Linked DNA regions of Xenopus tropicalis. The protein of the gene in region 3 interacts with the protein of the main gene of each other region in a biochemical or structural test. Links are inferred from orthologs where the notes say so. Each region holds a gene or a part of one and is shown on either strand. Other genes may lie near its edges.

Region 1 (2,899 bases), about 43 Mb from region 3:
GCAATTTCCCCGGGGCAGAGAGAAATTCAGAGAGAGAGCCACATATGACATTCCCTCCTTCCCTACTGGGGTGTCATTTCCTCCTTCCCTACTGGGGTGTCATTCCCATTCTGTTCTGCACAAAGCAAGAGACTGCATTATATGCAAAGCTTGGGGCTGGCACACACAGGGAAGCTTTACAGGAAGAAGTAGTGACATTTACACAGCTTTTTCCCCAGTAAAGCCTCACAACTTTAGGTCAGAAAAATTTGCAGTTTTATGCATGCCCAGTGAATTTTTATGATCTCTGTAGGCCAGTGACCTCCTTACTCTTTACACTTAGCAATCTTCAGTAGTATTTTTGTTTTTATTTCTATTCCATTATAACACTGCTCCCCATCTGTTGCTATATATACACTAGGTATTGTTTCAATGTACAGTGCTGTGCACAGCTAGCATTATTTAATACAAATATGCATATACAATATAAATTAAATCCATATTTGTATTTTAGATATAGGGTCCTTTATGTCATTAGCATGCATCAGTTTAGAATATATTTGGTGTGTGTGTGTGCTCTTAGCATGATCCTTAGAGGCCAACAGATATGTAGGTAATAAAAACATTTATTTTGCATTTATACAGAACAACCTTAAGTCTGTTGGTAAGTTGGGATATCAATCCATAATTTGCAGAGCATTTGATGGCCAATTAGTCTGCACTGACAAGAACAGGTTAGGCAATACCACATGGGAAAAGGCTGACAGGTGGACAGGAGTGTATTAACAAATGGGTCACAGGATCCCTTTTTGGGTCTCTAGGTGGACAGTCATGCTGTAGAGCAGAGATGCCAAACTGTAACCCCCAACAGCTGGGAATTATGAGTCCTAATATCACTAACTAGACTTTGCAAAAGGGCTGGCAGCCTGACATTCCTGCACAAGAGGAAGACAAATTAAGCAGCTTGGGAAAGTGCACTTGCAGATCTCTGAGGATTAATGAACTAGTGCAGAAGGAGTGGGAAATGCACACTAACAAGCACACCGACACTGTATAATGAGCATTTATTCAGTCCAACTGTGGCCTTTGGATAGCAGAACCCTGTAATCAAACAAGACCCCATAGGGTAGCAATGCTTAAGGCTCCCAGGCTTTTGTAGTCCTTGGGATGATGGGAGCTGATCACTGCGGCAAGAATTGCTAGACTGCTGCCACAAGCAAGGAAGGGGCTAAAGTAAAGGTAGCTTTAAAAAAAAAAACAAAAAAAAAAAAAACAAACCAGTAGAAACTCTCTCTAACTGAATCCTTTGAATTCACAGTTGTGTTTGTAAAGCACTAAAAGGTCGTTAGCAATATTTTAAGGCCCAGTACAGCACAGGAGGATCCAGAGTGCTGGAACACATAAAAAGAGCTGCAAATAAAAGCATAACGACAGTAGAGCCTTACTTTAGTAGGGGGACATTAAAAGCAGCAACCCATCCACAATAATTCTTGCTCATGGACATTTCTACTCCCTTATAATTTCACTGTGGTCAGCAGGCAGGGTTATCTGTCCACCTACATAAAAACCTACATGTTAAAAACAAAAAGTGATAGATGAGGAGCATCCATGGGATAAGAACAAGTGGGGATGATACAATGCCAAACCCTTGCCTGACAGTATATTCTGATGGCCTCCAAAGTCCAATACTGCTGACTTTAATCTTCTCCTGCCCTGCAGGCCCTTCAGCCAACCTACAGCAGTTAAATGGTTGCAGAAACATAATCACATTTCCCAGTAAGAGAATGAAACCCATGCTCCTGAAGATATGAAGCCAGGCGCAGTGTTGTGCTAAGCACAGGCAAGTCTATAGCAGGTTTTGCGTTTCACAATGGGACATATAAAGGGGGCTGCTGTGCCATACAAGCCTGTGTATGAAAACCTATGGGCCACTGCTTCTGCAGATTAGTAACAAAATTAGGAGGCACTGACTGCCCGTGGCTGAATTATAAATAAGCAGAATGATGGGGTCTGTGAGTTAACAGATTGTGACTGAGGGGGTTCCAGAGTTCTGATTCTAACCAGCAGCACAAGATCCCATTTCCTGATGGAGAACTGAATACAGATCTCTTCAGCAAGAAAAGGGGCTGAGACTGAGCTGCAAGATGGATTTTCAGCATAAATAACCAGACATGTTTTCTCATCGGAATTCAGAAAACAGTGGGGTGCAAAGCAGTCCGTTGAAACAAAAGGTGTACTGTCTTTTTTTAAAGAGCCCTCTATACAAAATGGAGGGGCCCTGGCGATTCCCGTTTTGATTAGCCAGACTTTGATCCGACCAGCTGCATGAGGCCATCTGTGCTCATTGATTTTGGTCTTTCCAGGGGGAATCCAAGAGCTCGGCTCCAGATAAGCTGAGCCAGAACACCAAGTGCCCGCGATACGCCAAAGAGAACTGTGTAGTAGTTCATCTCCTTCATGCCGTAATACTGTTGGGGCGAAAAAAATGTAAAAAGGGTTTAAGCAATGAGAGAATTTTGGACGGATTCAAATGCATTTGAGTTTGGTCACCCTTGTACTGTGCACATGCAATGTTATGGTCCTAACACTCCCCAACTCAAAGCCGGTTTGTATACAGACATGTAGAGAAAATGTTACAATAAATGCTCCCACTCCAATGAGCAAAATCACGTTTTTTAGCTTAGTTTACCACCACTGAACCAATCAAAAGTGGGCTTCCGTAAAGCCAATGACAGAATACAATTATGACTCAAATGTGTGCTTTTGATGACATCTGAATTACAAATCTGGATTTATTAGATTATCCCTACCTGCAGGAGGACCCCACTATGAGCATCCACATTAGGCCATGGATTCTTGGCTTTGCCTTGTTCCAACAGTACATTGGGAACAATCTTGTAAAGCTGAGCCACCAGTTTGA
Region 2 (4,222 bases), on a different chromosome or scaffold from region 3:
CCAGTGCTGCTGCTATTAGAGCATCTATATGGGTATGGGCACTAGATGCTAAGGCAACTAAGTCACATTGTCTGCGCATGTGCGCCATCATGGTAAGTAATTACCAGACATTTCCATTTCTCTCAGTGTACGATCCAACAAGCTTTTTTTTTCTCATATTCCATCTCAGAGAATAGCCATCAGTTTTTAACATAGTTTTTTAATTTTATAACAGTTCCACCCTCTTTTGGAAACAATCATTAATTCAGTTGCTCACCTTTACCCAAGTTTTGATGGGGCCTATATAATGGCCCTTTTCATCAAGGTGTTTTATATGTGTATTACCTACATTGGATGCAGATACCTAAATCCACTGGCTTGTATTGCAGGGCAGTAAAATAATATTTGCCCGTTGTGCAAAGCTGCAGCATGTTTTCATATTTCAGCCAGTGAAGATATTTCCTCTGGTCATTTACATAGATGGAAACAATTGGAGAAACATTATGCATACCCATGGCCTTGCTCTACAGATGCTCCAAATGCAGCAGAACTGTAATGTAAGGAAGCCCAATGGATTTGAGCGTTCCCTGTCAGCCCCGGAGAAATAGTATGGGAATCAATTGCACTTTTTAATGAAGTGATGTGATTAAGGCCACAGAGATATTATGCAAGAGTCAGCACATACATTAGCAACCTCAAAAAATGTATTTAATGATATAATTAGAAGACAACAGATTAGATTTTCGAGATGAGCTGCCTTGCATGGAGAATGCGACATGTGTACGAGGCATCACTCGGATCCAAATTTGTATTGAATAAACTATTTCAAATGCAAATCGTCTCAAACTAGTTGCATGGAAACTGGATGTAGATAAATATATATATAGCAGTGGGACATTTTGTAAAACTAAAGGTGGCCATATGGACAGATTTAAGCTGCCGATTCAGGCCTCCAGACCAATTCGGCAGCTTATCTGCCTGTGTATGGGGCCCTCTGTCAGCCCCCCCCCGACTGATATCTGGTTAAAATTCAGCCAGATTTTGATCGGGCGGGTATGATTTTCCTGCCAAATCAAGGGCCATATAGGCTTGTTGATGTGGTCCTTTCCTGATGGCCTGTATCCCCATCATTGTGATCTGATATCGCTCACCTTACGTGGGCATATTGGTGAGAAATCTGCTTGTTTAGTGACCTCATTTATGGCCTGACTAAGTACATAAAGAAGAATTTTCTGTTGATTTGCAGCACCTCAATAAATATATATTTCTAAGAGTTAAAATGTGGAGGAAACTAATAGTTTCTGTGCATTCTGTTACTAATGTCCAAACAGTTCTTTAGAAATGAAAGAGAATTTGTCTGGTTTCCAATGTAAGGGGCACTAAGGTGCCCATACACCTGAGTGAATATTGGCTGCTGACCAGGGCACTTTTGATTACTTGGTCAGCCTACAGGAGTTAATATGGGCCCAGGACAACGCCTTTCCTCTTAATAGTTTATCATTAGTTGGGTAGGCTAGAAATCCCTTCAACTAAGAACTGTATCAGGCTTTGTGTCTGACAGCACTGCACAGACACCCAGTGATCCAGTCCTTGGCTAAAGGCTAAACCATCAGCCAGATTTGGCCCACTACCTGGATCCCAGACAGGTTGATTCAGTGTGCATAAGGTCATTTTAAACTAGCCACATATAGACCTCAGACCAAGTCAGTTATTAATGTTTGGGGCTGGTTACATATCCATTGGGCAGGTTTGGTGGAGGAACTCGTCATGCCTTTGATGTGGTCCTCTCCCTGTGGGTGTGCATAGGCCTCTATTGTGATTCTAGTGATTGGCCTCATGGCTGAACAACTCAGATCAGTCTGATTAAGCCACTTACCTACTGTATATGACTAGATCTGCTCATTTGGTGGCCTCACCAATAAAATGAATATTTTTGCGCATTACCAGTTTAAACCTCCCTGATACATGTAGGTCTGTACACTATCCAGAAGCATGCTTTCCCTTAAGAACACGCTACTGCTGATCTCCTGAAACTAAGCACACTTCCCTATCATGTTTCTCAGCTTGCCCTCTAACCAAGCTTCATATCTCTTCCCGAAACTTCACTAATTACAGAGTTGTATGTTAACTCCCGACTGCCACATTCAGTATATTAATCACATGCCTCTCCTAGCTTACTGGGCACACAGCCGGTGTTAGAGAAGAGGCATCCCCTGGCAATAAGGTAAGACCCTATAATGGGCTGCTCTGAGGGAGTGTTACTTAAACTAGGGAGCCCTCCGGCTGTTGTTGAAGTATAACTGTAGTTAAACAAAAGCTGGAGGGCTGTAGGTTGGACATCCCTGGTGTACTGTATATATCTAACAAGTGTTAAGAAAATGTATACTTTGTACTAATGTATACAGAACTTTCCACCCCAGGGGTCCATGTGATGGACAAAGGCACTCTCTATGCTGTCCTAAAAAAAACTGGCACTGTGTACGAGATAAACTTAGTAGTGTTATTGTATTATCCCTGCCCCTAACCCTTATATTGTACCCATATACAGACTTGAACTCTCACATTCCCCTCTCCAGGCTTCCCCTCTCACTGTACCCACACTTCTCACATGTCTCTGTGGCATTCATTCTCTCTAGATGGTTCTGTATCAACATGCTGTACTAACCTTGAGTGCACACTTCTGCCCGGTGTCCCTGCGGTAACATTCCAGCACTTTGCCATTGATCCCCAGACCCAGCACCTGCTTTGACACCTTGTAATCATCGGTGATGGCATGTCGCTTAATCTCCAGCTTAACAGGTTGGGCTGGTGGGAGGGTTTCCTGGTCCCCCGTCTCCTGGACATTGGCATTCTCCTCCATAGTGCCAACTTAGGCCTCTCTGCCAGCCACCAGCCAAAGCTTCATGTCGGGAGCTTAGTGCTAAAGTCCCTGTGACTGTGACAAGAGCCTCCCACAGCTCATCTGTGCCTGTACCAAGGAAGGGGTGGGAGGAGAGACAGGCACCAAGGCTGAGTGAGGGAGGGAGGAAGGAAGGGGGTAGGAGGGGCAGCCTGGTGATTAATGTCTTTACTGCTAGTGAGGCAGCCTTAGGAAATTTGCTTTCCTATGAGAATGAAAGAACTATATATTTTCTTGCTAAACACAGACAACCTCTGAACTCCTTAGCTGCAAGGCTAGTATTAAAGTAGGGGAGAAAGGGCATTTGCCCTGAATCCCAGGCATCACAGGGGCCACATCAGGGGAAAGTTTGACAAAAATACATATTTTGTTATTCCCAACAGATGTTTAGAATATATATGACTATAAACAGCTGTTTAGAATATATATTTCAAACTTGCAGCTCTCCTACTATTATTTACATTGTAAGCTCTACAAGGCAGGGACCCCATCCACTTGACACTAAGCTGTGTGGAATCTTTAATGCAACTGTACTAAGTATTTATTTGTATTTATTACAGTAATGACACACTGTTTGTTGTATTAATTTATTGTTCTTCTGTCAGCGGTATGTGCATAAAAAGCACTATATAAATAAAATATACATACAAATTATGTTGTGACCAGTGTCAGACTAGCCCACTCGGGTACCAGGAAAAGAACAGGTGGGCCCAGGTCCTCATGGGTACCTCCAGCCCGAACTCCCTTGACTCAGCCCGGCAGCCTATCTTTATATACTCTCTTATATACTCGTGCCCACCCTGCCCCAGTGATGTTATACGTGGGCAGTATATATATATAAAAGCTCACAGCATGCTAAATTGTCTAGGTTGGTAGAGGGTGGGTTAGGGTCCAGCCATGTACCCCAGGTATCCAATTCAACGTTGGTTATAACACTACAACAGCCTGTATCATGGATGCTGGAAGCTGTAGTACCCAATGTCTCTCAGGGTTGGACTGAGCCGGCAGGACACTGGGGAAAAAACCCAGTGGGACCTCATGGGCCCCACCGATACAGACCCAATCCCGACCTTCTGCTCCTGCTGCTGCCACTGCCATAGCTGCCCTCCTCTGATTGTGGCAAAGTATGAGGTATGCATGTGGGGGGAAGGGGCTGGTGGTAGGTGAGCAGGTGGTTGGGGGCCCCTGAGTGGGTGTATGGGTCCCTGGGGTAGCAGCCCTGTTGAGTCTTCCGACCCCAATGTTGCTTTTTTTGTCTCCCCAGGTTAAGTCGCAGGTAAGGTTTTACAGGTTTTCAGCTGGCTGAAACAATCCAGAATGGCCAAAGACCAAAGTAGAAGACAA
Region 3 (4,226 bases):
AGCACATGGTACAGCTTTACCCTTGAATATACAATACCCCAGTTACCCTCAAAAGACTTGCGCTGCTAATGGCATATCTAATAAACCTTGTCTCTTTCTACTCTTAAACACGACTGATAAATGCATCTGATGCCAGCTTTGTGTTCTAAGGCTTATCAATGATAAGTCTACAGCACAGGGCTGCCTGGACTGTGTTGAAACCATTTCAAGATTATTGAGCAAGCCGACTTGCTTAAGGGCCATGGCCCACAGGGATATTATTCGCAGGGAACTAATCTCCCCAAAATGCCTTTCCACTTGCAATATAATGAATAACCTGTGGGAAAAAATATGCAGCATTTTGTTTTCCATCTGCTATTCACTTTATTTCCTGTGGGAAGGCATTTCAAAGAGATTAGTCACCCACAGTAGCCAAGATTTAACCACGAGTGACCAATCTCAATGGCACAAGAGGAGATTAGTCGCCTGCAACAAATCGTTATTGTGGACCTTTAATCTCCTCCAAATGCCTCAATGCCTATAGTTTACTTGCAAGGCAACTTTAACAACTTCATAAACCTAAAGTGATGCATATGTTTTCCCACTAGCAATTTGCATTATTGCCAGATGGAAGGCAAATTGAGATGAATGCAAGTAGGTGCAAGAACATTGGTTATGCCATTTTTATGAGAACTTCTGTGACCCTTTTTGCCCCGAGCATTCATAAATTAAACCTATTATCTAACAATATGATTCCTCTACTTCCCCTAGTTATATATAACTATTGTAATCGCTGCCACCTGCTGCTCTATGTGAAATTTGTCAGCACCCATACCACAGTTTCAGTGTGGTCTCCCCCACCCCCATTACATTTCTACAGTTTACTGTGTGTTAAATAGACCATAGGATATGTTTTAAAAATGAGTTGGAAAAATGAGCTGAGGCAGAAATAGAGATGATCAAGTTTTCTATTTGCAGAAGTATCGTATGATTATTATGATTTGTGCACAACAATATTGCCTTTTTTCTGTGAGTGTGTGACTAACCAAAACTTGAAGGAGAAGGACATGATAGAGAGGCAAAATAATGTCATTATATAAAATAACTAACTGTAAGCTTAATTACTTTACAAAAAAAATGTTTCATGAGATTCCTCTTTAATACTGTCCTTTAATACTTCAGTCCTAGCTATTTGTAGCTGCAATGCTGCAGAGTGACTTATATATATATATATATATATATTATATATATATATATATATATATAGACAGCAGTGGCGTGGAGAAGGGGAAGCAAGTGGTGAGCAGGGCTAGGCGTGCAAAATCTATAAATCCGGCCCTTACAGTACTGCATAATAATTTTAATGGGTAACAAACTAGGGGAAATATTTATCATGTGTAAAAAGTGGACTGAAACACTAACTGTGACATTGCCTAGGGCACCAATCAGCAATTAGATTTTAAACCAAAGCAAACATCTGGTTGGCTGCTATGAACAGCAGCACCGGTAATGTTTTACTCCCACTGCCCCCTAACTTGTTTATCATTCAAGCACACAAGTTAGGGAGTGAAGGCAGATGCTAACTGCAATGGTGCTCCTTACAACCTGTCCAGGCTGTGATGATAGGACTGGCTTATGAAGCTGCATTTTAAGGCAAAAATGGAGAAGGGACATGCTGTTGTGCCCCTAAGTGCACTTGCTCTTCTGCTCTAGGTCTACATAAATTCTATATAAATTACCTCCAGTATATATGGCAGATGATTCTGCTGGCAGTAGAGTAGGTTGGCCATAGTTAGGAATTGATTTGGGAAGTTTTAAGTAGGGGTAGGTCTTGGACCCAATAAACTGTATTACAGGGTAGAGATAAAGGAAGTGCCGCATTGGCCTTAGAAACTTCAAGGTGGACATTTAAGAGCCCAGTCCTAGGTGGAGCTGGATGTCCTTGGTTAGGCTAGCTAGGTATGGGTTATTCCTCCGAGGTGAGAGGCAGGTACGTTAGCTAGCAGGGGTAGCTGTGCCCAATGAAGGAGACAACCGTCACATGTGATTTTGTACCAGAAAACAGAGTGTGCCTTTTCATTCTAGGCATGACAGAGCTGCATAGGTAAGGAAGTCACCTCTTGGAGATGGTCTCAGTATGGCTTTTGTTTAACTTTTCTATCATGTTGTATCCAGGCTATGGTAAGGAACTAGGTGTCCTTTGTCCTATGAGCTTGAAAATCGATTACAAAATTGCTTGAAAGTTCAGGGAAATGTAATTACTTTGCAACCAGTGCAGCCCTGCTAAGTGCATTTATTAGAAGTGGTAATGCAGTGTGTTGGAATTATACAGCAAAACAGTATGTGAAAGGCATTTTTTAAAATAATCAATGTAGAATGTTATACTATTATTGCTAGTATATGAGGTTAGCCATGCCATACCTGTAATTTCCACGATGCCATCTTTAGTTTTTATGACCAGCTCCTCTGGGGCAAAATGGTTGACATCTAAGCTGATTTTCCATTGGTCTGAAGTCTGACGGATCTCTGAGATTCCACTGCTAAGCTGGCGGCTGAGGGCACGATTAAAGTCAGGAGCAGTTGCACCAGCAGGTGTGGTGGGGGGGACAACTTCCATGGACTGGCTTGGAAGCATGCGAACATAGCCTGGCCAGCTGGTGCTGGGCCATTGGTACCAGTCCTCGGGAATACGTGGCATACCGAATGACTGATCGAAAAGGCGACTGGTGCCTTGGTACCAGTCCCGAAATGGGTCCCAGCTTGGAGTGCGGAGGAAGGAGAATGGTATTCTGCGTTCTGACATTTTCTCTAGACCTGTGCCAGCTAGTAAGTGCTCTTTACTCTGTTCGGCCTGTGGTTGCTCTGAGGGTCTGGAAGGTGCAGCGGCTTTATGAAGAGCTAGCTGGTTATTTTTAGCTGATGGAATGAGCATTCTATTAATGGAAATTACACATGTAGTTGTGATGGAAATGTCTGGCATCTCTGCATGACAATACAATGACAGGGCACTCTCTCATAAACTGGGTAAACTTAACTTGTAGCCTTCTCAAGTTCCCAAGGGGGTAAAGGGTCTATAAACTGATGCTTTCTCTATTGATGACTTTGCAGAATACATTTTAGGAAAGCAAATTAGGGTAGAATGTAGAGAACCTCATGGCAACAAATTAGATGTTTGCTTTCATTGTTCTACCTACTCCTTGTTTAAATAAGCTAATCATTGACTTGCTGCTATGGGTTACTGACCAGGTCCAAAGTTGCCTACTGTAAAGAGGTAAAAAGATTATTCCTAGTTTTATTTTTAACCATAAAAGAAATGAATTGTTACATGAAGAGAAGAATATATTAACATTGTATTTTTTTCAACATTGTTATAAAGCACCAGCATACACCATATACAAATACTTAAAGGAGAAGAAAAGGTAAAAACTAAGTAAGCTTTATCAAAAAGGTCTATGTAAATACAGCCATAAGGACTCACAGAGTCCTCTATCAAAAGAAACACAGGATTTCTTGTCTCCTTTTTTGTAAACATGTTCTTAGGGTATCTGACTTCCTCTCTCAAAAAATCCTTCATTCCTGGGCCCTGAGTTGGCTTAGTTCTCTCTCTCCCTTCTGCTCCCCCTTCCCATAAGAATACATAAAACTTATTCCCCCCATCCTTAGGAATGTGTAATATGGGCTATCAGCCTCTAGATCTACTGCAGGAAGCTATGAACCCAAGCTAAAATGGCAGCTGCACAGAAAACAGAGAAAGCTTCTAGGAATCTTTACTCAGGTATGGTAATGCTTTCTGCAGAATAAATATAGCGTTCTAGGTGGCACTAAAGTGGAGAATCTATTGGCAGTAAATTGCCAAAATGACTTTCCTTAGCCTTTAAGCGAGCCATCCTTATAAGATCTCTTGACTCAGAATATAACAATCTACAATAGCCCTTGCAAAACTACAGAGGAATTTTTTACACTATTTTGAGAAAGAATGAGAAAGCTGTAATAAAATTCCAGTGTTCATTAAAAATGTGTCACTAAGATATACCCACAAAGTATTATGTGATGTTTCATGAACTGTGACAACCAACTTAGTCTGTTCTTCATTGTGTTTTTCATAATCAGAGCCATGCATAACATGTAACATATTTGCTTTTAAAGGATGCTTAGTGGGATTGCCATCATTGTGGTGGACCAGGACAAAGTGGGCAAGACAATGACGTTAAAAAGTAGGGTAATGACATTGAGGGCAGAACCATGAT

Evidence for each region.
Region 1: the proteins of hspb1 (region 3) and cs form a complex in vitro, tested with the Homo sapiens proteins (2 studies listed by BioGRID). The link is inferred for Xenopus tropicalis from reciprocal best matches to the Homo sapiens genes HSPB1 and CS.
Region 2: of the proteins of hspb1 (region 3) and mapkapk3, one has a biochemical effect on the other in vitro, tested with the Homo sapiens proteins (2 studies listed by BioGRID and IntAct). The link is inferred for Xenopus tropicalis from reciprocal best matches to the Homo sapiens genes HSPB1 and MAPKAPK3.

Annotation. Positions count from the first base shown.
Region 1 is NC_030678.2:137,309,166-137,312,064, reverse strand, and holds the end of cs (citrate synthase, mitochondrial precursor), read right to left. Parts: coding exon 2,790-2,899; intron 2,448-2,789; coding exon 2,277-2,447; 3' UTR 590-2,276; downstream 1-589. UniProt on the Homo sapiens protein: Key enzyme of the Krebs tricarboxylic acid cycle which catalyzes the synthesis of citrate from acetyl coenzyme A and oxaloacetate.
Region 2 is NC_030680.2:127,556,365-127,560,586, forward strand, and holds the start of mapkapk3 (MAP kinase-activated protein kinase 3), read right to left. Parts: upstream 2,891-4,222; 5' UTR 2,840-2,890; coding exon 2,645-2,839; intron 1-2,644. UniProt on the Homo sapiens protein: Stress-activated serine/threonine-protein kinase involved in cytokines production, endocytosis, cell migration, chromatin remodeling and transcriptional regulation.
Region 3 is NC_030678.2:94,196,561-94,200,786, reverse strand, and holds the start of hspb1 (heat shock protein beta-1), read right to left. Parts: upstream 2,831-4,226; 5' UTR 2,783-2,830; coding exon 2,401-2,782; intron 1-2,400. UniProt on the Homo sapiens protein: Small heat shock protein which functions as a molecular chaperone probably maintaining denatured proteins in a folding-competent state. Plays a role in stress resistance and actin organization.